Diceros bicornis minor: one gene and its partners. The protein of the gene in region 1 purifies or fractionates together with the protein of each later gene. This does not show direct contact. Links are inferred from orthologs where the notes say so. Each region holds a gene or a part of one and is shown in the gene's direction. Other genes may lie near its edges. The genes, in order: RAF1, DICER1, CCT8 and CALU.

Region 1 (7,708 bases):
AAAATTCAGAGAAAGGGCAGAACACTGCAGGTCGCAGCTGCCAGAGGAGGCTCCATGCAGGTGTGGCCCTTGAGCTGGGACTGAAAGTAGGGAAGAGCATTTCCAGCAGAGAGAATAGCATGAGCTGCTTTGCCAGGTAGGCCTGAGAGGAGAACAGGCGTGGTTCCTGGGACAGGAGGAGTCAGGCCAGTGAAACAGGAGAGAACCGCAGAGGCAGGACTTCCACTGGACGGGGATGCCCTTGACCAAATGTCATAAAGGACACTGAGGCCAAGCTTGGGAAGCCCTCCTGGAGGGACGTTTTGGTGAGAAGGAGAAGCATTCTGGCGGTGGCTGCAGAAGGCAGACTGCTGGGGCTTAGTGGAGGGATGGGTGAGAAAATCGAGCCTGGGTCTAGACCATTTTGGGATAAATTTGGCCCCAAAAGAGAACAAAAAATTAGGGGGGTAACTGGAAGAGGGAAAGGGACATTTGAATGTGCTGGTGATTTTCTTCTTCAAGACCTGGCTGACTTGCCCTTTTAGGGCAGAAAGCAGTAAGTCTGGGAGAGGTGCTGGAGAGGGAGAGGGTGAGGAGCAGCTCCCTGAGCACCTATTGCATGCCAGGGCCTGTACTTTCCCGTTTCATTTCCTCCCAACAACCCCTGAAGGCAAATATTCCTGCTCCTACATCACCTGAGGGAGAGGCCAAGAATCACAGCGGTGAGGGCAGGGCGGGGGTTTGATCTCCTATTTGTCTGACTTCAGAGCCCATGCCTACTCCTCTGTGCAGAGAGAGGAGGGGTTGGGTCTATCAAGGAGAAAATGTCTGTTCCAACTGCCTAGAATGCTCTTCTCCTGGCTCTTTCTCATCCTTCAGTGCCCAGCTTAACTATCACCTCCTCAGAGAGGCCTTGGCTACTGAGTCTAAAGGCGCACCCCTTCCCTTCCCAGTCTATCATTCTCTAGTCCTTTTCTGCACTGATTTACCACAATCCTAATTTTCATGTTGATGTATTGGTTTACTTGTTTGCTGTTTGTCTCCCCTGCTAGACCTTAAAGTCCTTGAGGGCAGACACTTGGGCTTGGTCACGGCTACGGGCCCAGGGCTAACACAGGGCCTGGCACATATTCAGCACAACAGAAATCTTCATCAACTGAATAAGGAATGAACAAACAAACAGGTCCAGATCCCTGCTCCACCACTTCCCAGCTTTGTCCTTAGATTAATTACCCTCTCTTAAAGGTTCCCCATTTGAAGATCAGGACTTTCAAGTCGTGATGATTGTGTATTGGAGATTGTGTAAAATGCCTGATTACATGAAGAGCCTTCATAAATGACAGGTATTTTTTGTGCAGTTCTTCTTTCCTTCATCTGAAACACGTACCTTTTTTGGCCTGGCTTAAAGACCTATGGTCCATGTTTCAAAATAATTTTTTGAGATATAACAAATGTGCAGAAAAGTACACACACCAATTTTTACATATATATGTGTGTGCGTATATATATAGCCATACACATACCCATGTAACCACTTCCCAAATTAAGAAGTAGCACATTCTAACACCCAGGAAAGTTTCCACGTTAGCCTCCCCCATCCCCTCCCTCTACCAATGACACCTCCCATTCTTCCCCTCCTCTGTTTGATCTGAGATCATGGCATGTCCATTGTCCCTTCAAGCCATTTCTGATCATTTCTTTTCCCTGTTCCTCTTCTGAGACCTTCCCTAATAACTCTAGCTCTTACGAGTAGGAGAGCCTACCACCAAACCAGAGGTCTCCAAAGTACAGGACATGCAACCCAGTGGAGTACAAGATGATTCCTGCAATTCCACTCCTGGGTATATGCCTGAAATAACTGAAAATAGGTACTCAAACTAGTACATGTACCTGCATGCTCATAGCAGCACTACGGATAATAGCCAAAAGATGGAAGCAGCCCAAATGTCCATCCACAAGTGAATAAACAAATTGTGGTATATACTTATATATTCAGCCATAACAAGGAATGAAGTACTAATACATGCAATCACATGGATGAACCTTGAAAACATTTGTTAAGTGAAAGAAGCCAGACACAAAAGGTCACATATCGCGTGATTCCATTTATACGAAATATCCAGAAGAGATAAATCCATAGTGATAGAACACATATTGGTGGTTGCCAGGGGCTGGGTGGGGATTGGATGCAGAGAAACTGCTTAATGGGTAACGGATTTTACTTTGGAGTGATGGAAATGTTTTGGAACCAGAGGTGGTGGTTCCACAACATTGTGAACATGCTAAATGCTACTGAATTGATCACTTTAAAATGGTTAATTTCATGTTATGTGAATTTTGCCTCAATTTCATGTTATGTGAATTTTGCCTCAATAAATTATTTTGAAAAAATGAATTAGTCACTCGTACTGGTGAGCTGAGGTTTGAATAAGGCACAGACTCCTTAAGCTTTCTTTTTTTTTATGCAACATTTTTTTTTTTTTGTGAGGAAGATCAGCCCTGAGCTAACATCTATGCCAATCTTCCTCTTTTTTTGCTGAGGAAGATCAGCCTGAGCTAACATCCACTGCCAATCCTCCTTCTTTTTTCCCTTTTTCTCCCCAAAGCCCCAGTAGATAGTTGTATGTCATAGTTGCACATCCTTCTAGTTGCTGTATGGGGGACTCCGCCTCAGCGGGACAAGCAGTGCGTCGGTGCGCACCCGGGATCTGAACCCGGGCCGCCAGTAGCAGAGCGCATGCACTTAACCGCTAAGCCACAGGGCAGCCCCTCCTTAAGCTTTCTAAGCTGTGAAGTGCTGGGCAAATACCAGCTGGGGGCGACTGAAGGAAGGAGTGGCCTGGGGGTCAGCAAGTGTGGCTTTGCTGCTCTGCCCTAAGTAGTAATGATATGATAAGAGACAGCTATAATAATTACAGCTAACACTTCTATAATGTTTAATATGAGAGGCACTGTTCCAAGTGCTTTACATCTTAAACTCACCAAATCCTTACAACTCTAAGAGGTGGGTAACTATCCGGTTTTCATTACAGATGAGGAACTGAGTGTTAAATGACTTGTCTAAGTGGCAGAGGAGGAAGTGACCGAGTCCGAATTTGAACCTACGCAGTCAGGCTCCAGGTACTCAAGTCTCAATTCCCAGGCTCTGTGCTAAGTGCTTTCCATGTTTTCTCTCATTTAATCCTGTGAGGTAGGTGTTATTGTTATTATTCCTATTAAAAAGAAAATCCCCTCATGGTCCCTCCATATTCAATGTCTTCCAGTCTTTCCCCTGAATTTATCTTCATGTTGGTCTACATGCCCCTGTCATCTTATCTTGCTTCATCTTCATTTTTCTTTATACTGCTCATATTACTACCTGAATTTATTATTTATGCTGTCTTTCGGTCTCTCATCACTAGAAGGCAGGGCTTTTGATGATTATTGATTTCCCAATACACAGAACAATGTGTGGTACATAATAGGCTCTCGAAAATTTAAACGAAAGAATGGTGCCCACGGTATTGGGTAATCTTGCATGCCTGTGTTCAAGTAAATAAAATCATACTGTACATGTTCTACTTTTTTGTTTTTTGTTTTTTTTTGTGAGGAGATCAGCCCTGTGCTAACATCTGCCAATCCTCCTCTTTTTTTGCTGAGGAAGACTGGCCCTGGGCTAACATCCGTGCCCATCTTCCTCCACTTTATATGGGACGCCGCCACAGCATGGCCTGACAAGCGGTACGTCAGTGTGCGCCCGGGATCCGAACCGGCGAACCCCGGGCCGTCGCAGCAGAGCCCGTACACTTAACCGCTTGCGCCACCGGGCCGGCCCCAACATGTTCTACTTTTTAAAAAAATTTAATGTCTTGGATGTTTAAACATCAGTACAAAGATCTAGCTCATTCTTTTTAACAGATGATATCCTCTATTGTGGAGGTAGCACCGTTTATTTACCCAGTTTCCTACTTAATCCGCATTTTTCGCAGTGTATCTCTAATGCAAATAATATGGCAATAAACACCTCAGCACGTCTTATTGTGGGTATGTGTACACATTTACCTAGAATTAGTGCCTACAAGTGGAATTGCTGGACGGAAGGGTATATACATTAAAAATGTCAACAGATAACGCCAAATTGCCCTCCCGATATCCATTCCTGCCAGCGCTGAATGACCGTACACAACAGGTTTTCATATACCTAGCACCAGACTTGATATTACCAGTCTTTTTAACTTTTTGCCAATCTGATGGGGGAAAAGGAACCCCCAATTTACAGATGAGGAAACTGAGGCTCAGTAAAGTTTAGACACTTTCCTACATAACCGGTAAGTAGCGGAGCGTGTCCGACTCCGGAGAGGACGCGCCAAAGCTGGACACTGTTCTCTATGCTGTGCCTCCTCGCGTATGTCTGGTTATCCCTAGGCCTTGATGCGGGCAGGCTGGCCTTCGTTCCCCCTTGAGGCCTCAAGCCCCTTCCGGGTGGCTAAAAGCCAACCTTCTCTCGATTCCCCACCGCCTGTCCGGGAGCCAGTCAGCACCCGCCCTGCAGCCTCCACAACTCCAAAATGGCGGCCGGCAACCTCGCGAGGCCACGCCTTTCCACGCGAGGCGGGGCTTGAGTTCAGGCCAGAGCGATGGATGCCCGAGCCAAGTTTGAAGTCGGTTGCCAGGCGGGCTCGCGCAGAAGCAAAGAGCCAGTGGCGCCGCAGGTCGGGAGGAGGAGCACCGAGTGGAGGGCTCGTTTGCCTGGGCCGCTGGAGAGTCTCTTCTTCGCGGGCGCTGGGCCGCCATCTTAGATGGCGGGAGTAAGAGGAGAGCGAGAGTGAGACGGGGAGGCTCCCCTGCCGCTCTTCTTGGGCCCCGAAGAGGGCCAGCTGGCTGGGCTTGGGGCGTGTGCCCTGAGGTGCGGAGCCCGAGTGCAACGATGCGAGGGCTGCCTGGGGCCCCGTCCCCTGGGCTGGGGACGCGCCGAATGTGACCGCCTCCCGCTCCCTCACCCGCCGCGGGGAGGAGGAGCGGACCAGACGCCGCAGCCGGACGACGGGACACGGAGGCGGCCCGGCTCCCTCAGGTAGGCGCCAGGGCCGGGCTCTGGATGCCGGGGGAGCCGGGCGGCGGGGCTGAGGGGTTGGTTCCCGGGCGGCGCTGACGGAGCAGCCCCGCGGCTGCCGGGCGCCGGGCCCGGGCCAGGCCGCTGTCACCCCAGGTGGCGCTGGGCGGACGGGGGCTCGGGGCCCGGTGTCATGGCCGGCGAGCGGAGTTCCCACATCCCCACTCAGATTTCCTTGTGCTTCGGGGAAACGTGCCAGCGCCACCCCTGTACCCGGTGCACGTTCCTCATATTTGACAATGCGAAAATCCCCCTGGAGCTGCCCCGTTTCTGTGTTGTCACTCAGATGGGCTAATTCCTTTTCTTTCTGGCCGCGGAGTGGGGAACCCGGGCTTGCATCTTCTCTCGGTGTCCGTCACTCAAGTGACACCCTTTTAGGAAAGACGAGAGGAGTCGGGCACGAGAAGAGGAAATGGGTACAGTGCCCCACCACAAAGGCATAGGGGCCTCGCCTGGGGTTTCAGGCCTCTGTGGGTTACTAATGAAAGGTTTGGGATGCTTTTACTGACGAGTGGCCCCGGGATGCTTTGGAATGACGATCCAGGGCTGTCTTTTGTGTGAAGTGAGAGCCACCAGGACGCTTCAGTTCTGCAGCTGCAGACGCTCTGCAGAGCCGGTCGATGCCCCGAGAAGAGTTTGGACATCGTGAGAGGCGAAGCTGTTGTGTTCATTCATTGTTCTCTTTCCAGGGCTCTGCGTGTGCCCTCTGGTATTCATTCTTTGGTGGGAAGAATGATAGGATCTCCCGTGTTTCCTTGGGATGTGACTGGGTTCTCGAGGATTACTTAATCTAGGTAGGGAATGAATTCAGCGCACGTTCATTGAGTATTTCTGCCTGCCTTGTCCTCTGTGGGCTGAGTGGAGGGAGTCTGCTCTCCATTCTCTTCCGAGGCGTGAAAACAATGCTCTGTGATAAGGATAAGGTTGTGGGAACTTGGAACTGGCTTTGCCTGGGGGAGTTGAGGAAGCTTGTCCACTGGAGGGGACTTTTGTGCTGAGTTTTGGAGTGATGAGTAATTACTCTCCAGGTGAGGAGGAGGGGAGAGCATTCTAAGCTGAGGGAACAGCTGGTACAAAGGCATAGAGATGTGCAGGAGTTGGGATGAGTTTGAGGAGCAGCAAATAATCCGGGGTGCAGGGAGGAAGTGGTGAGAGATGAGGGTCTAAAGGAAAAGTTGACTAGATCGTGAAGAATCTTTGTCGACGATAGTGAACTAGTTGATTTAATTTGGATTATTTTAAATGAATGTTGCTAATTCTTTTTTCATGCTGATAATTAATTTCCCCCTTCTCTTGATGATGTTGAAGCTGATAGTAATTGAAAAGATTTACTTTGTTAAACCCAGTTAAGAACATTTTTTTTATTGATGTTTTAATAGTTTTTAACATTGTGAAATTTTGGGCTGTACATTTTTGTTTGTCCATCACCGTATATATGTCGCCCTTCACCCCTTGTGCCCACCTCCTACCCCCATTGCCCCTGGTAACCACAATACAGTTTTTCTGTCCGTGTGTTGGTTTAAATTCCACATATGAGTGAGATCATACAGTGTTTGTCTTTCTCTTTCTGGCCTTTTTCACTTAATGTAATACCCTCCAGGTCCATCCATGTTGTTGCAAATGGGACGATTTTGTCTTTTTTTATGGCTGAGTAGTATTCCATTGTATATATATACCACATCTTCTTTATCCATTCATCAGTTGAGGGACACTTGGGTTGCTTCCACTTCTTGGCTATAGTGAATAATGCTGCAAGGAACATAGGGGTGCATAAGCCTCTTTGGATTGTTGATTTCGGGTTCGTTGGATAGATTCCCAGTAGTGGGATAGCTGGATCATAGGGTATTTCTATTTTTAATTTTTTGAGAAATCTCCATACCGTTTTCCATAGAGGCTGCACCAGTTTGCATTCCCACCAGCTGTGTATGAGGGTTCCTGTTTCTCCACAGCCTCTCCAACATCTGTTGTTTTTTGTCTTGGTGATTATAGCCATTCTGACGGGCGTGAGGTGATATCTTAGTGTGGTTTTGATTTGCATTTCCCTGATGATTAGTGATGTTGACCATCTTTTCATGTGCCTATTGGCCATCTGTATATCTTCTTTGGAGAAGTGTCTGTTCATTTCCTCTGCCCATTTATTTATTTATTTTTGTGAGGAAGATCAGCCCTGAGCTAACATCCATGCTAATCCTCCTCTTTTTGCTGAGGAAGACCAGCCCTGAGCTAACATCTATTGCCAATCCTCCTCCCTTTTTTTTTTTTTTCCATTTTTCTCCCCAAAGCCCCAGTAGACAGTTGTATGTCATAGTAGCACATCCTTTTAGTTGCTGTATGTGGGACACGGCCTCAGCATGGCCGGACAAGCGATGCGTCGGTGCGCGCCTGGGATGCGAACCCTGGCCGCCAGTAGCGGAGCGTGAGCACTTAACCGCTAAGCCATGGGGCCGGCCCCCTCTGCCCATTTTTTGATTGGATTGTTTGTTTTTTTGTTGTTCAGTTGTGTGAGTTCTTTATCTATTATGGAGATTAACCCCTTGTCAGATATATGTTTTGCAAATATTTTCTCCCAGCTGGTGGGTTGTCTATTCATCTTGATTCTGGTTTTATTTGTCTTGTAGAAGCTCTTTAATCTGATAA
Region 2 (7,565 bases), on another chromosome or scaffold:
ATTCCTTGTCCAACTTCTACCCACTAGATTTAGCAAATATTGCTATTTCTTGTCTGACGATTGCCAAATGGTGACTTTCTAATTCCATTATTCCTTCTAAATTTATTAGTTACAGTCTACTCTAAGGAAGAGCTGTCTCTTTTCCCCATTTATTTATTCATTTTTAAAAAACATCAGTCTGGACTCATGGATTCTATTTTATTCCAATGGAATATAATCTCTTACTATCATATTTTATTTTGATGCTCAAATTTCCCAGATTTGGCCAGTGGGAGCCCCTTCAAGCTGACTGCTTTGTCCTTTTGAAATGTCTCTATCGTTCTTTGAGCATTTTCATACTTTCTGGCACAATAAGATGTTCCAGGCTCCTGTATATGATACTTCTACGTTTATATTTATTTTTATATCTATATATATTGAAAACTTTGAATTCACATCAATACTTCTAATTCCAATCCAATCTCTCAAGCCTTCTTGCTTTTCCCTGTTCTGTATTTGTAGCCCCTTCTCCAACAGTGAGAACTCTGGCTTCCATTATCTTCCATATAGTTTTTTCTTTGTGTAGTCCCCCTGTAGATGGCCACCTACCTTTGCAGGACAGCCGCCCCACCTTCCTTGTTGGGGCTCTGACTCCACACGGGGCTGACTTCCTAGCTGAACATGAGGGTGGCTATATTCTCCTATGTAGATGAAAAAGCAGAATCAGTCAGTAGAGGGAGATACACAGATGAAGCAGAATCACAAAAAAGAATCACAGAAGGACAGAGAGAGCAACTTTTAAGTTCCCGGAAGCTTTCCAATTCTTGGTTCCAGTTATTTGCTAAGATGTACCTGTATTCCCGCTCCTGGCTTTTGTGAGAAGCTCCTACATCCTTATGACAAACTCTTCCCTTTTGGTTAAGCTACTTCATGATGGTTTCTGTTACTTGCAAACAGAGAGTCTTAAACAAGGTATATTTATATCCTGGAATGTGCTACAAAAAATAAAACAAATTGTAGAAATAATCATGGCAAAGGGAAAATAAAAATTAGCACACAGAAAATGCATACCACATGGTACTGTACTGTTGCTTAACATGAGCTGAAATATTAGCTCCAAGATTTCTAGTGATCCATACAAAGTGTGAAATGTTATCCTTTACAAGATTTTATGTCTCCAGATTTAAAACAAACCAGCAACTGGAGCATGGATAGACCATTGGAACAAAATACAGGGCCTAGAAGTGAACTCTTCAACAATGGCCAATAAATGGCAAACTGTGTAGCCATCCAGAAAAAAAATTAATTTGGATCCATACCTCACCCCATATATTGAATCATTTCCAAATGGATCAGTGTTTTATTGCAAAAGACTGGAAGTCTAAATCTCCATCAATAGAGAATTCGTTAAATAAATTATAGCACATCTCTGTAATAAAATGTTATGGGGATTGGGGGGCTGGCCCCGTGGCTTAGCAGTTAAGTGTGCACGCTCCGCTACTGGCGGCCCGGGTTCGGATCCCGGGCGCGCATCGATGCACCGCTTCTCCAGCCATGCTGAGGCAGCGCCCCACATACAGCAACTAGAAGAATGTGCAACTATGACATACAACTATCTATTGGGGCTTTGGGGAAAAAAAAGGAGGAGGATTGGCAATAGATGTTAGCTCAGAGCCGGTCTTCCTCAGCAAAAAGAGGAGGATTGGCATGGAATGTTAGCTCAGGCCTGATCTTCCTCACACACACACACACACAAAATGTTATGGGGATTGAATAAAATAGCAAGGAGCTCTGTATATATTGCTGTAGACATATCTTTTTGATATATTAAGTAAAAAAAGCAAGGTATAGTATACGTGTATGGCACACTATCACTTTTGTAAATGAGGAACGTCTTGGCTTGTATATGCATAAAAAAGTTCTCTAGAAGAAGGAGCAAGAAACAATGGTTACCGTTTGAGGCATGGGGACAGGTATGGGGGAGATATTCTTTTTACTGTATACCTTTTTATGCTTTCTGATGGATACACCATATGTATGTACTACTTAATTTTTTTATTGAGGTAACATACGTTTATGACATTATATAATTTCAGGTGTACATCATTATATTTCGACTTCTGTATAGACTACATCGTGTTCACCACCAAATGTCTAGTTGCCATCTGTCACCATACAAATGTGCCCCTTTACCCCTTTTGCCCTCCCCTCACCCCCCTTCCCCTCTGGTGACCACCAATCCATTCTCTTTATCTATATGTTTGTCTGTCTGTTGTTTTTTCATCTGCCACATATGAGTGAAATCATATGGCATTTGGCTTTCTCCATCTCACTTATTTCACTTTGCATAATACCCTCCAGGTCCATCCATGTTGTTTGAAATGGCAAGATTTCATCTTTCTTTATGGCCAAATAGTATTCCATTGTGTATGTATACCACATCAACTTTATCTATTCATCTGTCAATGGGCACTTAGGTTGTTTCCAAGTCTTGGCTATTGCAAATAATGCTGCAATGAACATAGGGGTGCATACATCTTTTCAAATTAGTGTTTTTGTGTTCACTGGATAAATACCTAGAAGTGGAATAGCTGGATCATATTGTAGCTCTATTTTTAATTTTTTGAGGAATCTGCTGTTTTCCATAGTGGCTGCACCAGTTTACATTCCCACCAGCAGTCTATGAGGGTTCCCTTTTTTCCACATCCTCTCCAACACTTGTTATTTCTTGTCTTCTAGCCATTCTGATGGGCATGAGGTGATACCTCACTGTGGTTTTGATTTGCATTTCCCTAATAATTAGTGATGTTGAACATCTTTTCATTCGCCTGTTGGCCATCTGTATATCTTCTTTGGAGAATCTCTGTTCAGATCCTCTGCCCATGTTTTAATCGAGTTGTTGTACCACTTATTTCAAAAATTAAAAAAATTGATGAAAATCAGACAAACCTGCTGATGGAGAAACCCAGCTGATCTTGACAGACTGAGGCAACAGCAGGAGGGGATGCAAGTTTTACCTGCCCACAAATTTCCACTGCTAGTGGACCGTGGTGCCTACCCCCGCCTTGAGATGCCATCCTTCTCATAAAGGATTATCTCCCAAAAGCCTTTACGCATATGACTGGGGAGGTCTACTGCCCACAGTGCTTGACATACAAGAAACATTATTTTTACGGAGGTCTGCCAAGAGCATTCTGACTACTTCCTAATTTTGCCCATGAACATTCTATGTTTAGGTGAAACTTCTATCTGACCAATTTACAGTAAATATATGATTAAAATTTGATCACCGCAGTGACTGAATACATCAGCCCTGAAGCCAGACTACCCGGGTTCAAATCTCAGTTATTCACTTAGTAGCTGCTTACCTGATGGAGGTTATTAATTTTCTTCATCTGTTAAAACAGGGGGCAATCACAGCACCTACCTCACAGGCTCCACATAAAGATCACAGGCTTACACTACCCTGGTCAATTCACGCTAGCCACCTAAGACATTAAAATTTTTCTATTACTCACATTAAAAAAAATGAAACTAGATTTATCCCAATATATCAAAAACATCACTTCCACATGTAATCAATATAAGAAGTTATTTGTGAGATGTTTTACATTCTCTTTTGGTAAAGAACACATACATCTGAGCTCCAACTAGCACGTCTCAATTAGCACTACCCATATTTTTAGTGCTCAGTAGGCACACGGGGCTAGTAACCACTGTATGGAACCGCGCAAACCCAGACAGTCTGGGGAGTAGGTGCCAAGAGCTAACTCTTACTAGCAGAAGTATGGTTGCTGGTACCATCCCTCCTCTGCAGTAAACCAGTGTATCACTGAGTCCTCTGGCAGAGCTGCCTACACTTTGGGATAAACTAACAGGACTTTCTTTAAGCTAGTCACCTAATTGACCTCCAGGTTTTAATTCACAGCTACAAGGTATGGTACACGGTTGCGACCCCAGCAAATGAACGACTTACATAACCGGGGCCGCTGTCCCCATCTCGTTTTCTGGTTATCCCTGTTCCGGGGTGGGAGTGGGGTGGGGTTTGTCGTCTCCCCAATTGCGGAGGGCCCTGCACCACTAACGCGGGGGACGAGCAGGCAAGCGGGAAGGTCTTGACAAAGTGAAGGGGGGAGTGGCAAAAGGGGCGCGCAGCCCTCGGGAGAACAATCACCGCCGGGGGGCAGGGCCACGTTTAGGGGGCGGTGGGTGCCAGACGGGCAACAATGGAGGCGGGCGAATGCAGAGAGCCAGGAAGTTCTGCCAGCCTGCGAGCGTCCGCCGCCTCAGCGCGCGGGGCCCGGGGGCTGCAGAGGCGGCGGGCGGTGGGCGGCCGGCTCCAGTCCCGGCGCTGGGCCGCAAACGCCGCCTGGGCCTCCGCCGCCCGCGTCCGCTGTCTCCCGGCTCCTGAGTGGCTGGGGGGCCGGGGTTAACCTTTCACCGCCGCGCCGCGTCCAATCACAGGCCCGCTCTCATGCCGGCGCGGGCGAGCGGAGCGTGGGGGCGCGGCGGGGCGGCGCGGGCGCCGGTGGGATTCTCCAAGCGGCGGTGCGCCGTTGCCGCGGGCCGTGCGCGGGCTGCGGGCGAGCCGGGCGCTGCGCAGTCTCCGCAGGCGCCAGCGGGAGGGGTCGCGGCGCGGCGCAGGCGGCTCCAGGCCCAGGTGAATGGAGTAACCTGACAGCGGGGACGCGGCGACGGCGAGCGGGAGGAAATGGCGGCGGCGGCGGCGGCGCCGGGCGGCACCGGGAGGCCTGGGCTGTGACGCGCGCGCCGGAGCGGGGTCCGATGGTTCTCGAAGGCCCGCGGCGCCCCGTGCTGCAGGTGAGGCGGGCTCCCGCGGAGCCGCTTTGTGTCGGGGCGGGGAGCGGCGCCGCCCGGCCCCGCGCCCGCCTCCACGCCGAGGCCCGCATGGGCGCGCTGGGCCCGCGCTCCGGCCTGGCCCGCGGGGGACACCGGCGCGGGCCGATGCGCGGCCTCGCCTGGTCCCGGGCGGCGCGGCCTGCGGGGTCGGGGCCCCCGCCGGGCTCTGCGCCTCCCCGACCGCGGCGGCCCTCTGGGTGGGCGCTGTGGAGGGACCCCGTGCGCTCGCCCGGGCAGCGGGTGGGCACGCGGACTGGAGCCTGTCCTCCCCGCTCGCCCGCAGCCCGTGGAGAGCGGGGCTCTGACGGGTCGGGTGGCGCACCGAGAGGTGCGGAGTGCGCAGCGGCACCTGGAGCATCCTCGGGCCCTGCCCTGCTGGGGGCCGCTCCGCTGGGCCTCCGCGGACCCCTTGGAGAGGGCTGGGAGGGAAGGAAGCCGGGCTGTCGGTGCTGGCAGGAAAGCGCGAGCTTCGGGGCCCGCCCGCGGAGGATTGTTCGTGTTTATTGGCAGGTGACCAGATCTGGGTCCCACGGGGCGGGTGGCCGAGGCCATCTTTCCGCCCCTCCCCTCCGATGTTTTTGTACCCAAACGCCTGGACCCTGCCCAAGGAGCCTTTCTTAAGGATTTTTAATCTTTAGGAAATCAGTGTATGTTTTAAGTTAGACCGTGAGATTTCTGTAGATTGTCTAGAAAAGCTGAGCTGCCCCGATGGCTTTGCCCGCAGCACGGAGCTAACAAACCACTTAATGCATCTTTAATAGCCTGAAGATTTGCAAAAACAGATGAGTGGGGACTCCTGGCTCTATGGTGTTCGGTCAGTGCTTTTGTGGGGAAGTCGTGCTTAAAGGGACACGTTACTGACCCACAAGATAAGTCTAAGCGTTCTTAGACTTTCACGGTTTAAAAACATTCATCTTATTCAAGAGTGTTACTTTGAAGTCTGTGTCTTTGAGATGCTTCTGTCTTTGGATTTTCTGAATCTTGACGGTTTTGATTTTCAGTTGTCTTCGTGTCGCTTGTTTTTCAAGTACAGCGCACTCAGTGAAGGGAAAACGGCAGAAGTTAGGAGTTAAGAAACTTGGAAAGTATTTTTTAAAAAAATGCTTTAATAAAAGGTTAAGTTGAAAATGTGTTGGTGTAAACATTAAGTTTTCTAAATAAAAATACCCATCTTAACCAAGAGCTCCAATAATTTATTGAAGGATGGATGATGGTACAGGATTCTGAATGAGGCTGCTAGTAAGTTGTAATTTTAGTATCACTAATATCTTTGGAACTAGCTAGGTTCTAGAATAATCTGTTTATTTTGCAGAGTGTCTTTATTTTGCAGAGTGTCTTTAAAGCTAGCTAGCTACCTGTGGCACGTGTATATTATGTGTCATATGTGCTGTATATACACACACACACATAATTGTTTTGAAACTTTATTTTAGGCCATATTTTATAAAACTGTCTATAGATTAGAAATACTAAAAGGTTGCTTTTAATAGGGTCGCTGTAAACATTTAAATTGGTAATTTTGGTTCATGGATTAATTCATGGCATCAAAATGCTGTTTTAAGTAAAGATGTATTAGTTGAATTTAATTTGGGGAGAAAAGACCGTCTTTTCCTGCAGTTATTTTAGTAAGGGCTTGTTTTACTTTTTATGCTCTCATCTCATCACTGAAGGTTCAGTTGTCTGCTGTGCTAGGTCTGAGGCCCCGTGTGTGAGTTGTATAACGAGGCGGTTTTGCCGTTGCTGAGTTTTGTTGTCTTGGCTTTGGAAGGCTTTTATTTTGATGTGGTTCATGATTCTTGTTAGATGGTGATGTTGTGGTGTTACATGGTGGGTTGTACTTTTAGAGTAGTGCTGCCTTCTAGGAAGGATGACTTTTATGGCACTGAGATATTTATTCCCGGCCACTGTCTGACACAGGAGATGCTTGTTTTGTTTGAGAAAGTAGGTTTTTCATAGACATTCTCTCACTTGTGACCTTAGCTTCCTGTGGTCATCACTGTGGCAAAGGAGAGAATGATAACGTTTATAAGTGCCTGCTTATTATGTGCCAGGATGTTTCAGGTGCCTCTATATCCGTTCTCATTTAATCTTCATGGTGACCCTGAGACAAACTCAACACTGTCCTTATTGTACACGCAAGGAAACTAGGACTCGGAGATAGTTGCCCCAAGTTATGGTTCTAGAAGTGGCAGAGCCAGGATTGAATCATGGTTTGATTTCAGAGTCCTTGTGTTGTATTGCATTGCTATTCCAAGTGGATTTTAGGGGAAAACCTGCATAACACATAGGTCAGACCTTAGCTAATACTTGTTGAATAAGTGAAACTGTCTACCCTTAAATGTTCAGGGGACCTCTGATTATCTGAATAAGTCAGATTTTTTTTTTGGTGGTCAAATATACATAACAAAATTTACTGTTCTAACCCTTTTTAAGTGTACAGTTTGTGGCACTAAGTACATTCACATTGTTTTGCAACCATCACCACCATCCATCTCCAGATCTTTTTCATCTTCCTCAGCTGAAGCTCTATTCATTAAACACTAACTCCCCATTCCACCCTCCTCCCAGCCCCAGGTAACCACTCTTCTGACTTCTGTCTCTATGAATCTGACTACTCTTGGAACCTCATATGAGTGGAATCATACAGTATTTGTCCTTTTGTGACTGGCTTGTTTCACTTAGCATAGCATCTTCAGGATTCATTCATGTTGTAGCATGTGTCAGAA
Region 3 (7,614 bases), on another chromosome or scaffold:
AATCCTCCAGCTAAACAGCCAAAAATAGAGAACAGACTTGGTCACAGCACAGGGACGGATATCAGCAAATGCAGCATCTGCCTATATGCGTTCAGCATCAATCTAGCTCCCTCTTCTGAATTCGAACATGGCCTCCACCACCCCAGTATTTGGAACACAGGCTCTCTGGACCAAGATACCATTCCAGATGCTGAGCTCACAGGAGATTCAATCATCTAGAGAGGATCCTCTTTGTCCCTAGAAAAAGTGTCAGGAATGACAACTGAAACCATCTATACCCACACAGCTTGCTGTCTACATTAGCATGACTTTGCTATTCCAGTGTCTTCATCAACATAACTTTATTCTAGGAAACACTGGCCCAGGAAGATAAAAGTTGCAAATAACTGTATTGCTCATTCCAGAAGCATCCTGAAAGATCCATCAACTGTTCAATAGAAAGCATCAAACGACAGTTTACACCTCAAGACTCTTTGAACCCATTGCCTCAAAATCCTTACCTTGCTATGCCCATCAATCGTATGTCATGATCGTTACTCAAACTTCCCAAGCTCCTACATTGAAAGACCTTCCTTAACTGGACTTCAAAAACTCATAAATATCCTAACTTTGCACACACACACACCCCCCAACTGAGATGCTACTAAGAATCTGACAAAGTAGTGCTCTCCCTGATTGCAGTAGAATAAACTCAGCTTTGTCTCATCAACATATTATCTTGGTGATATTTTAGGAAGCCAATATTCTATAGGTGTCAGGAAATAACAGAGGATAACCAAAGGGTGTGAGATCTCTTGCAACATGTGGCTGGAAAGGTGTTACTTCAGAAGAGTGGGCAGGAAGGGTAAGCATCCAAATGGTGGAATGGCAAGATAGGCCTCACTGAGAACAAGGAATCGTCACTAGAGTGAGCCCTCTGAGGATAGCCACAAGGAGAAACAGTGCCAAGGCACTGTAGGGGAACGGCTCTGCCAAGGTGCCATGGCAACTTTGCATGTTTCTACACACACCAAGCAGGCAGAGGCTTGCCCCGAGCTAATCTGAGTCTTGGCAGAATGCCTTGTGATCCTCCTGGAACACAAGAGGATAGGAGGCCTGTGAAGAGCTTCTCCCAGGCAATTTCTCTCTTACCTCCCTATGCCCCTTAGGAAGTTGTCATAGGAAGATGATGAGGCAGTTTCTCATCATCTCCAGTGTTCTGATGGGCTGTGGATCATCCTGCCCCAGCCCCCTGCAGTAGAGATGGGTAGAATATATAACTGATCAGCTACAGTCCAGAGTTAACTCCTCAGCAACTGGATACCCCACCACTTGCATTACAATCTCTTAGTTCCTCTTAGTTCAGTGTCATTCTTTTGATGTGCGGGACAATGACCTCAAGGAGCTGGGACCTTTGGCTAATCTTCCTCTCACTGTCAATGTAAGTAATAAACTGATTCTAAAAGTGGCTCCCTGTATCTTCACCAGCCAAATCAGTCAGGAGTTGGCCTTGACGTTGCCCAGTCTCACGTGTTCTTGACAGAAACTACATGAAGTTTTGGGATCAACATGGCAGTCTGAGGCCCAGTCTAACTCCCAACCTCACTCTCACCCCATAGATAAAAGGCTAGGAATGGGAGGTTTCCAGGGAAATTAAGACACAAAAATAACAATTACATTGGGAGACAGTACTTCTTTATACTCTTTTGGTTTTCCCCAATCCTCCTGGCTTCCCGCTTCACTCCTTACCCCTCCATTGGAGGGAGTTATCTGGTTTAATGGGTGACTGACACGGGGCCACCTTTCTTTCTGGACTTCAAAAATTATTATATGGAGTTAACCCTTTAAAAGTCTCTCTTCTTCTTTTCTGCTCCTCCACTCCAATTCAGTGTAAAGCAGCAATCACGGACAAGAATGTCTACACTTTCACACTAAGCCATATCCTCCAAAGTCCAGTGATACGTTGAATCCCAGCTGCCTGACTCGGATTTCACTTCGGTAATTGTTTCCAAACTCTGAGAGGGAATGGGGGTTTCCTTAAGCCCAAAGAAATTTGATTAAAACAGAAAAAAAAATTTTAATTTATAAAGGAAAATTAAGAGATTTTCACAAAAAAAAGAAATTGAAGTGAAATAATAAGCCAAGACAAAATGAGTCATAAAATCCAAAGCCAAAGGGAAAGAATTAAATTTTGATGGAAAAATAGTGAAAACTAAGATGATATAGTAACATGAAATAAATAATACAAATGCAGGGGAGGGAGAAAAGTCAGAAGAGAAAATATTTGATGGGAGTTGGTAAAATTAAATAAGAATACCAAAAAAATTAAAACACATATACAAGGCAAAAATATTAAAATAATTCTGAAGTACAGAGGTTAAAATTTTAGGCAAACAAAAGATAGAGAGAAAAATAGAAACAAAGTCACAGGAAACAAATGGTAACCTGAGTCCTTATCAGGGTCCTGAGTTGGCTTAGACATCTCCAGACCAAGAGTGTAGTTCCTCCTGAATGGGGAGCTGAGGGGGCAGACACTCCCAATCTTCGAGGCCTTAGCTCTCTCCTGGGTGCTGGAGGCCATGTTTTCAGTTGGCACCTAACATGAGGGCCCTGGGCTCTTGAATCAAAATAGCCGAAACCTACAGTCTCCTTGGGCTTCTGCAAACTCCTAGGCAACCCTTTTGATTGCTTTGTGACGTTCTCTGGTTTTACAGCACGTACATCTGGATGAGACAAATAGAGACCACACCTCGTGATTCTTTGGTCTCCTCTTCTAGATACCCATTTGGTCATCCATTCGTTCACTTGACAACTATTTATTGAGACTCTACTCCATGCCATGCCCAGTGATAGGTGCTGGCAATACAACACCTACCTACTGGTTGAGAAAGATATAAATAATTCTGTCATTACAACTGCAATAAGTGCTATGAAGGAGAAGCACAGAAGTTATGAGAATGACTAACAAGGAATGACTTGGGAGTCACTGAAGACTTTCTAAGGAAAAAGTTTATGTTGACTGAAGCAGATATAACTCAACCAAAAGGCGGTGAAAGCACACTCTAGGTAGAGAAAAGAGTAGAGGTGAAGCCCCTGATGCAGAGGCGGTAAAAGACAGGATGAACTATTCAGGCTATTGTGACCAGAAGACAGGAAGATACATGTGAGCTACCCAGGCACCAAAACCTAGGCCTTGAAGCCACATTCAGGATTATTGTTTCTTTTCTTTTCTGGGTGAGGAATATTTGACCAACTATTTGGATCCAGCGGAAATTTTGCTCTTGATGTTTTGATTCTATAATTATGAATGCACAGTTTAACCCAAATAATACAAAATTAACGAATTTTCATCTAAAAAACATTCTTCTTAGCAATTAAATCAATTTAATTTCTTGACAAATTATCATACAGAAGATTTTAATTGATTTCAATCCTTTCCTTTTCCTTTTTACTAAAATTAATGTAGGATCAATTTTTTATCACGAACTTTCCATGGAAATTTGATTCATCAATTGGTTTGTCCTCAAGTTTAATTTTCCATGGTCCTTATCAAGATTTGATTCCTTAGTTATTTTTAATTAATTAAATTTTATCAAGCGTCATTTTTAGCCCCTTTCAGTTTTATGGCACACTAAATCTGTCCCAATTTAAAGAAAATAAGTAATTTGCACTTGTCCAAGTCAAAGAACAAAAGTCAAGCCAAAACGTTCTGCTTTGGGTTTTCTGCATTTTCTGCAAGAAAAGTGGATTATTTTCATAATGTGAAATTACCCTTAAAAGTACTCTATTAGCATTCAGTCTTTTTGAAATCAGCCACGTGTTGACATGCGAAGACATATAGATCAGGTTTTAAAAGATCTGGGGAGAGTAAAAGGGATTTATATTTCCAGGAAAAAGCAGGAAAGAGGAATATACACAGTGACTAAGAACGTGCATTTTGCAGTCATTCTGATCTTGCTAGGAATCCTTGCTTTAACATTACTAGCGCTGTGATCCTGGACAAATTACCATTTGTAAACCTCAGTTTCCGCTTCTATCAAATGGAGATAATAGTAGTTAACTCGGAAGGCTGACCATTAGCTTAGGTCTTGCACGTAAAGCAAATAACACAGAGCCTGGCACATATGAGAACTCAGCATGTAGTTATCCTTACGGATTTTAAGTATTACCGTCCCGTCCCCAGCGCTTCCTACAGAGCCCCAGACAGACCAGACGCCCAGCCACAGATTTTTCCGGACGAGGGCAGACGCCCTGTCTCGGGAAAAAAGTGAACACCTGCCCCGATGTTGTGAGTGGGCTTGGAAAATAACTTGGAAATTAAATTTAGGAGGGAGGCGTGGCTTCTAGGTCAGAAATGGCAAAAACGTAACGTCGCGGCCACGGAGCCTCAACGGCTGACACTCTCGGCAACCAGCCACAATGGCCTGTGCCGCCTGCGCTTGCGTCGGCCCGATCGATCGACCTGATCGAGGATCGTCAACCCAGTCCTGGCTGCGGGAACTGCTCTTTCTCGCGAGGTTTCAGACCAGGAGGCTGAGGGAAAGGGCGGGCCCAGCTGAAGAGAGAGGCGGAGCGTGAGGCCGCGGCACGCTGCGTTCCCAGCAGGCCGTGCGTGCCCCTCGCTTCCTCCCGGATCCTCCGAGCGAGCGCGTGAGGGGCTCCTGCGTACTGGCCATGGCGCTTCACGTCCCCAAGGCCCCGGGCTTTGCCCAGATGCTCAAGGAAGGAGCGAAGGTGAGGAATGGAGGAAGGGAGGGGGAGGTGGCTGCCGCGAGAGAGCAGGGCCTACTAAAGGGCCGAGCGTGCTCCCCCGGCGCAGAGATCGGAGGAAGAGAAGGTTCCAGAAAGGGAGGTGTTCTCGGGAGGGCTCGGCCCCCGAGGCCTGCGGGCGTTTCCGTTCTTGTGCGACCCCGGGGGGAATCGAGGAGGCAGAGGCCGCGGGTGAGGGGCAAGGCCCCGGGATTCGCGTTTTGCACTGACTAGCTGGGGAAGCGTGAAGCCGCTTGTGCGTTTTCCCTCCATCCGTGAAACGGAACTGATGAGGCTCTCCTCCCTTAAAGGGTGTTGTGAGGGTGAAGGTGGATAACGGAGGTGAAATTGCTTTGGGAGCCGCGGGGCCGGTTGACACGCAGTTCGAGGATGGGGCGATCCGAGAGGAGAGGAACAAGGGCCAGGTCTTGGCAGCTTCCTTCCAAATGAGAAACAGAGGGGCTCCCTATTTAGTTCGCAGAAGTAGTGCGTTGTAGTAGGACAGACACTTACAACCCAAATGAGTTTTGGTCTCAATTTAAGGTTAAGTAGCTTGTAAGACTTACCCCCCAGGGTCTTACTTTCCTCATCTTTAAATTGAGATTGGACAAAAAGGTGGTACCTTTAAGTTGTACCTGTCCATCTGACCTGTGTAACCCATGGGTAAGTGACACCCTGGTCTAAGTAAGTAAAACTGCTTTGTTTTATGGCCAGATCTCGAACGTAATTTCAAGAGCGCGATTTTTAACAACCCCTTAAGTTTTAGGGAACCAGGTTTTTGTTGGCAGGATGCACTTTGGGATAACAGTATACTAAATAAATATCAGGGTTTAATGTAAATGTTGGTGGAACAAGTTTGCTGAAAGGGACATCGGTTGCTCACTTTTTTAAAAAGTCAGGCTGAGAACTCTTCGTAGTTTTTATTCTTCTGAGGCAGAAATAATAAATGAACAGATAAACAAGGATGATTTCAAATAATGATAAAGGAAACAAACAGTACTGTAGTAGAGAATGACAAGAAATAAGAAAGTCTGCCTCCAAAAAAAAGGTAAGGGTTTAGGGTAGATAAAACAATTAAATAAGATGTTCAGGGAAGAGTTCTTAGCTCAGTTTCTGGGTGACAGAAGGAACCAGCCAAGATTAAAGGGAGAAGTGTTCCGGGCTGAGGGACCAGTAAGTACAAAGACCCTGAAAATGGAATGAGTTTGACCTTTTTAAAGAAAACAGTGAGAAAGGTGATGGGCCTGAAGCTCACCAAGGGAGGGCAAGAATGGTAAGAAAAGAATATAGAGAAGCTGTAGGCAGTGGCCAAACATGTAGGGCCTTGTAACCCTGAGGCAGGATTTACATTTTATCCTGGGAGGGATGGTAAACTTCTGAAGAAGGGTTTGATGGGATCTAGTTGATGACCTGAGGGCTGCTCCTCAGGGGTGGGGGATGTAGGAGTGTAAGCCAGGGGATCACACTGAGTGCTCTTGTAAGAGTCCAACTCTTGTCGCTGAAGACACTGCTTCTAAAGTGGTTATTAACCTTGTTTGGATCACAGTCCCTTTAATGTATGTTATAAAAGCCGTGCCTTATACTCTAGAACAGTACTGTCTGATAGAACTTTCTGTGATGATGGAAATGTTGTGTATCTGTGCTGACCAATATGGTATCCACTAGCCACATGTAGCTACTGGGCACTTGAACTGTGGCTAGTGCAATTGAGGAACTGAATTTTTAATTTTAATTACTTGAAATTTGAATAGCCACGTGTGGCCAGTGGCTACTGTATTGGGCAAAGCAGCTCTAGAAAAACGTTCACATGAACACTAGGTTCATGAAACCTATCTAAGGCCACAAATAAATCCCAGCTCTAAAAAAAGCTCAGTGTAAAATTTGAGAATTTTAGTACTATGAGCGATTCAGCAGTTTTTCAATATGTACACGTTGGAATTGTTGCAGTTCAAAAGCCTGTATACTTTAGTCCCTAAATATTTTGGAGACAGATAGGTTAAGTGGGAATTCCCAATGAACATAGAACTGCTGGCTTTACAGTGCTCAGGCTCTAACACAATAAGAAAAATATTCATGCCACATTTCAAGTTTTAGTCAGAAAGTACTGGTAAACTCTGAAAAGGTATTTTTACCTGAAATAGCTCATATGCTTTCTCTAATCAGTCTTAGCACTCTTCCCTGCACTTTTCACTACATCAAAAAAAATTATAGGCGCTGCATTTTGATGTGTAAGTGGGTACCTGTGGTTCCTAAAAATGTCATGCTTTGTTCATTCAACTATTGAGCAAATTTATGGATCATTTATGAATACCAAGCACCATGCTTTACGTACATAACTCTTGCTTGATCGAGTCAACAATCCTGTGAGGGTAGGTACTATTATTATTACTCCCATTTTACAGATGAATAAATTCTTGTTTTCACTGTCCTGTCTAATCAGAAGTTTCCTTTTACAGCATTTTTCAGGACTAGAAGAGGCTGTGTACAGGAACATACAGGCTTGCAAGGAGCTTGCCCAGACAACTCGTACAGCATATGGACCAAATGGTAATTTATAAATTCATGTTTTAAAAGATACAGTAATAGAATTTTGTGTACTAGCTCTTTCAAACTTGTTCTGAGGGTATTATATATAAAGTGACAGTTTTAGCCATAATACAGTGTGGCTTTGAAAGTTATTTCATAGTTCAGTGACACTAGTATAGGGTTTCCAGTTTTTAATTGGCAACTCAGATCTCTTTAGAAAAATAGGAATCAAAATGTTACTTTTTATGCTGTTAAGAGGATAGAAAAATTATGGTGCTTTCATTATTGAGATAGTGCTTAATGTTCAGTGTGACAAATGGTGAACGGTTCTTTTACATAAAGTGACATTATAATTTAAGA
Region 4 (7,728 bases), on another chromosome or scaffold:
AACCCCTCCGGGAGGTTTTTGTACCCACTACCCCACCAAACCTGACCCCCACATTGCTAAAGCCAATGGCCAACCAGTCCTTACCTCACTGTTAGCAACATGTGACATATGTGATTACTTCTTTCTTCTTGAAACACTTTCTTCACTCGGCTTCTATAACACTGCATTCTCCTGGCTTTCCTCCTCCTTCACTGGCTTTTACTCTCATTTCCTTTGCTGCTTCATTCTCATCAACACCCCTCTACCATCTTTGAACATTAGAAATTTCCAGGGCCGGCACCATGGCTCAGCGATTAAGTGCGCGCGCTCCGCTGCTGGCGGCCCGGGTTCGGATCCCAGGCGCTCACGGACACACTGCTTCTCTGGCCATGCTGAGGCCACGTCCCACATACAGCAACTGGAAGGATGTGCAGCTATGACATACAACTGTCTACTGGGGCTTTGGGGGGGAAATAAATAAATAAATAAATAAAATTTAAAAAAAAAAAAAAAAAAGGAAATTTCCAGGACTCAGTCCTTAGGTCTCTTCTAATCAAAACTCATGGCTTTCACACCACATATACACCAATTACTCCCAAATTTGTATCTCTAGTCCAGACCACTGCAAACTCCACAGATACATATCCAACTGCCTACTTAGCATCTCCATTTGAATGTCTAACAGGCATCTCAACACGTCCAAAAACAATCTCTCAATATTATCTTCCAAAACTTGCTCCCCCCAAAGTCTTCTCCATCCTAATAAATGGCAGCTCCACTTTTCTAGTTGCTCAAAATCTTGGAGTCATCCTTGACTCCTCTTGTTCTCTCCACTCCATTACCAACACACCAGGAAATCCTTTTAAACTACTTTCAAAACATATTCAGAATCTGACACTTCTCACTATTTCCACTGCTACCACCCTGGATCAGGTCATCATTATCATCACCTGGCTTGTTGTAAAGCCTCCTAAGTGGGCTCCCTGTTTCTAACGTTACCCTCTTCAGTCTAATGTGACCCTTTTAAAGGCTTAGCTCATGTCACTTCTTTGCTCAAAATCTTCCAATGGCTTCCCATCTGTATTAGGATAATGCTGGCTCTGTAAGAGATAAACCCAATGTATCAATGGCGTAAAACAACCAATAGAAGTTTATTTCTCACAGAAAGTCCGAAAAGGGTGTGCCTGTTTGGTGAGTGGCTCTTTAACAGGAAACTGGGCTCCCTGCAGGTTGTGACTTTGCCATCTGCACTACACGGCTTCTAGGGTTGCCACAGAAAGAGAAAGAGCTTGGAGAATTACACACAGCAGGTTTGTATGGCCAGTACTGGAAGTAGTGGATATCATTTCTGCCCCTCTTCCTTTGGCCAGAGCTCAGTCACATGGCCACACTGCATGGGAGCCTAGGAAATGTAGTCTAGCTGTGTTCACAGGATGAAGAGGAAACGGTTTGCTAAACAGCCAGTCTCTTCCACACCATCTCACTCATAGTAAAAGCTAAAGTCTTTACAATGGCCTAAAGGTCCTACATGGTGTCCCTCTCCCCTTTGCCCCCATCCCTGCTTCTACTTCTCTGACCTCATGTCCTCTACTCCTCAATTACTCCACTCCAGCCACACTGGCGTCCTGCTGCTCCTCAAACACTCCAAACATGCTTCAGCTCAGGGCCTTTGCCCTTGCCATTCCCTTTTCCTGGAATGTTCTTCACCACCTTCAGATGTTCACTCACACCTCACCTTCTTCATGAGCCCTCTCTGGCCACCTTTCTAAGATTGCAACATCACTCCTGATAGTCCCTACACTCCCTGTCTCCTTTCTTGCCATATTTGATTTCTTAGTACTTATCACCACCTCTCATTCTATACATTTTTCTTTTTTATCTGGTTTTATTTTGGCTACATACCAGAATATAAGCACCACCAGAGAGTGTAGTCCATTTTGTTCACTACCGTATCGCTAGTGCCTAGAACAGTATCTGGCACACAGAAAACAACATATTTGTGGAGTAAATGTTCAGTAGCACCATATGAACAGAGTTGGGATGCCTGAAGGACATTACCCTTTTGAGGTTGACATCATTATACCTGCCACAAACAGTCCTTCAGTGCTTCTCTCAGAGATAGAATCCAGGGCTAGATGGGCCTTGAGTGCAATTGAGGTGACATTTCTTATGTGTGTCACCCCCCAAGTCCTTTCCTCCTCTACCCACCTTCTAACTCTGGAGCTCCCAGGAGGTCTAATCTGCTTTTCTCTCCTCAGAAAGCTCATTTGTTCTCATGGCTCCATCAGCTGCCTCCTGGCCAATGACCCTTCTAAGTATCTCCTCCAGCCTATTGGCTCTTTCTTTTTAGATGTTCTGCCATCACCTTAGATTACTATGTCTTGAACTCAATTCACTATTTCTCTCATATTCCACTCATGTAGTCATTCTCCCAGTTTCCTATGATTAAAACTTTAAATTTTTGAGTGCTGCTCCTTCATTTCTTTCATCCAAGCAGTCAATAAATCCAGGACTTGTTTTCCACTTTTAAAAGTTCTCTTATATATAAGTGTTCATTACCATTTCCCTTTCTCTGCCTAGGCCAGGCTCTTATCCACAGGGAATCTCAGGATTGGAGGGCCCCATCCCTGGCAGAGTCCCGCTACCTCATCCAGCCTCCTTTAGGACACTTCCAAGATGGGTGGCTCTCCCAGTAGGCTACAGTTTTGTAAGGGCAGGGACCATGCCCTCTTCACTGTGGGTTCACCAGCACCTAGCATAGTGCCTGACTTCAAGGAGGTATTTTTAAAAGTTTTTTAAATACCTCCGGATACAGCCTGTTTTATAGTTAATCCTTATTAGGAGGGCCGGCCCCGTGGCTTAGTGGTTAAGTGCGCGCACTCCACTACTGGCGGCCCAGGTTCAGATCCCAGGAGCGCGCTAACGCACTGCTTCTCCGGCCATGCTAAGGCCGCGTCCCACATACAGCCACTAGAAGGATGTGCAACTATGACATACAACTATCTACTGTGGTTTTGGGGAAAAAAAATGGAGGAGGATTGGCAATAGATGTTAGCTCAGAGCCGGTCTTCCTCAGCAAAAAGAGGAGGATTAGCATGGATGTTAGCTCAGGGCTGATCTTCCTCACAAAAAAAAAAAAAAAAAGAAAGCAAAAAAAAATCCTTATTAGGAGATGCGCCTCCCTGAAAGAACCACTTTCATTCCATTCCACCTCCCACATAGGCACAAGCTTAGAAACCTTCCGAAGATGACCCACAGTTCCCACTGCCTTCAGCTCAGGCTCCTCAGATTGTTAAGACCTTCCACTACCTAGAGAAACTTATCATCTATGCTTTCCCTTCATGCCCCCCTCTCTTTTTTATCCCCCTCATCCCCTACCTGGCCTAAGAATTTACCTCCTACTCTGACCCCAACTTGCCCTTGTTCCTGTTATTCCTCTTCTGAATAGTGCATTCAGGACTTCCTTAGTCCTGCCTGAGTCACACCTCCTTAGGAAGCCCTCTCTGGCTACCAGAGAGGTCACTGTCATTCCTTTGTCTGAATTCCCAAAGCATTAGTTGTCAACTTCTGATCTTGGTGCTTAAAAGTTAACTAACTTGCTTTGTATTTAATTCTTTCATGAACATACTACTTGTCTCAACTGGATTTTAAAGTATAGAGGCTTTATGTGCTAAGAACACAGTAGGTTTATATTTCATTTGTGTTGCAAACATAGTAGCCCTCATTTAACATTTGTTTTAATTTCATGACACGAAAATAAGTGAATAATTTCCTGTGTTCCTCTTAAATCAGGGACGTGCAATGGGTTCCACCCATTCAGTTCACTTAACATTATTAAGCATTTACTTTGAGCTGGGCAGCAAGCTCAGACCTGCAGATACAGAGATGAACAAGGTAGATCTCTACCCTGGAGCTTAGTCTGCAGGAGGATAGATGGATAAGCAGTATTTTATAGCAAAATTTGGCAAAGCATACTAAAGATACAAAGTGCTATGAAGGCAAATAAGAGAGAAATTATTATGCCTAGTAGGGTGAGGAAACGCTTCTAGAGATAATATCTGAGCCAGGATTTCTGTGAACTGGGACTTCTATTCGCATTGACAAAGCAGAGATTCAGAAAACGCACTTATTCCAAGCGGAGGAGGCCACTTGATGAAGAGAGGCCATAGATGTGAAAGGGCGGGTGGTTCGGGAACACAGAGATGATGGTGGCCAGAGCGCAAGATATGTGAGGGGGAGTGGTGGGAGACGAAGCCGAAAGATACACTGGAGCCAACGAGTGAAAAGGCTCCTGTAGGCTACCCCATCAGAACAGCAGTGCTGAAGGGAAAGGAGAGGTTGGGGCGACTGATACAGTCGGATTAATTCGGCTCTGGGTGCCTGTGGGCATGAAGATAACCGGCGGGGTAATGCAAGAAGCCCTGTGGAAGCCGAGTCACGCGCTGTGAACCCGGACGTGGCGGCCAGACAGCCGCGCCCACACGCCACCCGAAGTAGGGGGCTGAGGCCCACCAAGCCCGCAGGTCCAGGGACCAGAGCAGGGCGGGAATCCGGTCCGCGCAACTCGGCGCGCTCGCGGGGACGTGGCGCTTTCCAGCCAATCCCAGCTACGCGACTGCGGGACCAATGGCTGTCCGGGGCAGCTATGCGTCAGCGGCCGGTTTGTTGACGATTGGTCGGGAGGCCGCCGGCGAGGCGGAGAGGGGCGGGGCGCGGAGCCGCTTCCGGTTGGGCGGTGCTTGTGCGCGTGAGCTGAGCCGGTGGTTGAGCGGAGGCCGCGGCACGGTAGGCTGTGAGCGCTGTGAGAAAAGGTAAGTGCGGTGGTGCGCGGCCCGTACTCCGCAGCCTCGTCCTTTTTCGCTTTCTTTTTGTCCTGAGGCCTCGCTCCTGACGCGGGATGGGCCTCCTTCTTTCGGTGCCTGTGTTTTTGCTAGCTCGGGGACCCGGGGCCTGAGCCGGCTCGCGACCCCAGGGCCCTCGGCGCGTAGCCTGGGTTGGAGGCCGCCGCTCGCCTTTCCGCTCGCTCTGAGAAGGGGCCCGGGTCTCGCGAACTCGGGCTCCCGGCTTTGCGTCCTGTGGGTGCTGTTTTGTGCCTGGCTTGCTACGTCCTCTGTCCGTGGGCCTCGCCACTCACCGAGTCCGTCCGACTAGGGGGCCACTCTTGTTTGCATCTTGAAGGTCGGAGGGCATCAGGTAGTGTTATTCTAACAGCTCCCTGCCACCTCCCACTCACCGGCCTGCTTGTGTCCTCTGGCCCCACCCCAAGGCCACATCCCCAGGGTAGGGTGCATCTGCCAAGAAAGTCGTGTTCGCTGACTTTGAGGGTGTAGAAACAAGGGGAGACAGAAAGCTTGAAGACACTCTGTGATTTTTTTTTAAAAAACTTGCTGTAATTTTAATAGCCGAGTGTTTCGAGCTTCTATGTTTGGCTGCGTACTTCAATCAGCGATGGAAAATAGTTTTGAAAGCTTTATTAGGAAGGTGTATTTTTACCTTGTTTTGTTGCTTCTAGCCCCAGACCCTCGTTCTGATTTTTGGCATGCTGTGTTCAGAAGTAAACTTAATTCCCTATAGCTGCCCTGATTAAGACTAGAGTAGTGTGGTTTGCAGTTTTGAAAGCTGCTTTTGGGTCTCCTGCTAAAACTTTAGGGCCTTTGATCTCAATTTCTAAGTGTATAAACTCCCAGAATAGTTTCTTTGAAAATTGAATTGCATTCACATCCTGGCATGGACCATGAAGTCAAGGTTAATGAATCGGGAATAAGGTTGCTTCTGATTTTTTTTTATAGCTGGGAGGTAGAGAACCGTGTAATCTCTGATAAGTTATTCTTTGCTTTGCCGTAGAATGGAACTTGACACAAGACAAATGGGTTTGAACTCATTCAGTAAATTTAGTTAACCAAGTACTAAACAATGGCCCTCACTGAAGAGTTTACGTAGTACAGTACAAATGAGGGTCTAGAGATAACCTGTAAATTGTGTTTATGTGTAGAGAGGACGAATTTGCCCAGGCCTAATCTGAGTTTTACAGTCATTCAGGGATCTGCAATAGGATTTTTTTGAGAATCAAAACCGGGAGAACCATGAGCTGGCAAAGATGAATTGAGTACGCCTGAGTGGATAGTACTCAGATACAGCTCTGAAATCAACTCATCATCCCTCTCAGTATAATCATTGTTTGCTCCCATTCGTCCAGTGATGTATCAAAAGGTTCTTATTGATGACATTTTATATATATGTTGCACCAGTATAGGAGATCAGTACATTGATATTAACACAGACTTTCTGTAACCTGGGTGTGCCAGAAATGTTGGAAGGACACAGGTATAGCCAGGGATAGCTATTAGAGATGCTTGCTAGGCCATAAGGTCCTCGATTCTCTCTATGAACTCTTAAATATAGATGTTGATGTTGTAATTTATGTATTAGAGTTAAGACAGCTGAAATAACACTTTGCCTTTTGCTGGCTGATGGCCAGATCCGGTAAGGGGAATTGGGGGTTGGGGAGCACAGACAGGCAGGAACTACATTGCTGCCAAGTGCCCTCCAACTAATCCAGTGAAATGTATTGGTATATAAAAAGTACAAGACGCTGTATTAGGGCCTGTAGAGGGATATTAATTTATATTAGCTGAGATCCCTGCCTTCCAAAAATGTAGCATCCATAGGGGAGTCGCCTATAGGAGACAACTTAAAGTAGCCTATGGTCATTATTGTGGAGTGGTACAAGTTTTATAAAAGTTTAGGGGAATGGGTACAGATCACTTCCTCCTGGAGTGGTCATAGTACATAGGTCTTTTCATCTAGGATTGTAAAATTATTTATAGACATTTGGCACTGAAGGGAGGTTGAACTAAAATAACTACCAAATTCTCAAGGACTTTATGCATGTTACACATGCACAGCAAAATTACAACTAGAAACCAAAGTTCTCGTCCCTACATGTTGCATAGCATTTCTATGGCAATTATGTATTAAAGTTTCATCAGCCAAAAGGAAACTTTTTTCTCCCAAAATTTCTAGAACTTTTTTTTTTAAAGAAAATTTTCCACTCTGTAGCCAGAAAAATTAAAGTTTGTACTGAATTGTTTTGGTTATAGAACCAGTGAAGCCTAAGGAATAGTTTGTCCTTCTCAAAGCTTTTCTTCTACAGCCAAATGTTGCACCTTTATATTCTCAGCTGTCTTAAAAATCTATGCCTTCAGTCACACAAATAATTTAATTGGAATGTATTAATGAACTAATGTAAATTTGCTCCATAATTAAAGAAACATTGAATAAATGGTTTGTCATTGTCATAACTTTTATCAAATCGTGAAGGATGACATTATTACTTTAATGTGATAATCCATTAGTGGTACTTGTGCTAAAGTTTGTAAGAGAAGAATATCAGATAGCTTTGATTTGTAGATTTTGTAACCTGGACCTTAGTATGTATAGTTAAATTGCTTTCAGGCTGTTCCCTCCAATCCACAATTGCAGTAGACCCTTAAGCAGTGAGGTCCTACTTTTGCTGCATTATAGAGGAATGCCTTTCTTTGCTGAATATCCAGCTCAGAGAACTGGAATTTTACCACCACACCCATTTCTCCCACTTGTTAACATTGAGCAATGGGTCTTTGCTCAACCAGAATAACTGTGGGATCACTCAATGCTAATGTTCTTGAAAAGTTAAATCTAATCCAGACATCTAAATTTCTCTGAAATAATTGATTTTAAGTGTTCTGTGACCAAAGGATTTTTACCAAA

The links.
Region 2: the proteins of RAF1 (region 1) and DICER1 purify together in Homo sapiens (affinity purification with mass spectrometry; 3 studies listed by BioGRID and IntAct, with this or other methods). This does not show direct contact. The link is inferred for Diceros bicornis minor from reciprocal best matches to the Homo sapiens genes RAF1 and DICER1.
Region 3: the proteins of RAF1 (region 1) and CCT8 purify together in Homo sapiens (affinity purification with mass spectrometry; 4 studies listed by BioGRID and IntAct, with this or other methods). This does not show direct contact. The link is inferred for Diceros bicornis minor from reciprocal best matches to the Homo sapiens genes RAF1 and CCT8.
Region 4: the proteins of RAF1 (region 1) and CALU purify together in Homo sapiens (affinity purification with mass spectrometry; 3 studies listed by BioGRID and IntAct, with this or other methods). This does not show direct contact. The link is inferred for Diceros bicornis minor from reciprocal best matches to the Homo sapiens genes RAF1 and CALU.

The regions. Positions count from the first base shown.
Region 1 is NC_080741.1:85,205,965-85,213,672, reverse strand, and holds the start of RAF1 (RAF proto-oncogene serine/threonine-protein kinase), read left to right. Parts: upstream 1-4,699; 5' UTR 4,700-5,032; intron 5,033-5,760; 5' UTR 5,761-5,865; intron 5,866-7,708. UniProt on the Homo sapiens protein: Serine/threonine-protein kinase that acts as a regulatory link between the membrane-associated Ras GTPases and the MAPK/ERK cascade, and this critical regulatory link functions as a switch determining cell fate decisions including proliferation, differentiation, apoptosis, survival and oncogenic transformation.
Region 2 is NC_080763.1:40,757,326-40,764,890, reverse strand, and holds the start of DICER1 (endoribonuclease Dicer), read left to right. Parts: upstream 1-4,555; 5' UTR 4,556-4,800; intron 4,801-7,565. UniProt on the Homo sapiens protein: Double-stranded RNA (dsRNA) endoribonuclease playing a central role in short dsRNA-mediated post-transcriptional gene silencing.
Region 3 is NC_080766.1:29,950,546-29,958,159, reverse strand, and holds the start of CCT8 (T-complex protein 1 subunit theta), read left to right. Parts: upstream 1-4,607; 5' UTR 4,608-4,653; coding exon 4,654-4,713; intron 4,714-7,184; coding exon 7,185-7,275; intron 7,276-7,614. UniProt on the Homo sapiens protein: Component of the chaperonin-containing T-complex (TRiC), a molecular chaperone complex that assists the folding of actin, tubulin and other proteins upon ATP hydrolysis.
Region 4 is NC_080742.1:77,500,603-77,508,330, forward strand, and holds the start of CALU (calumenin), read left to right. Parts: upstream 1-4,764; 5' UTR 4,765-4,790; intron 4,791-4,913; coding exon of another isoform or gene 4,914-4,967; intron 4,968-7,728. Other genes in the region: GARIN1B (Golgi-associated RAB2 interactor protein 1B), read left to right, coding at 4,477-4,764, 4,914-4,967. UniProt on the Homo sapiens protein: Involved in regulation of vitamin K-dependent carboxylation of multiple N-terminal glutamate residues. Seems to inhibit gamma-carboxylase GGCX. Binds 7 calcium ions with a low affinity.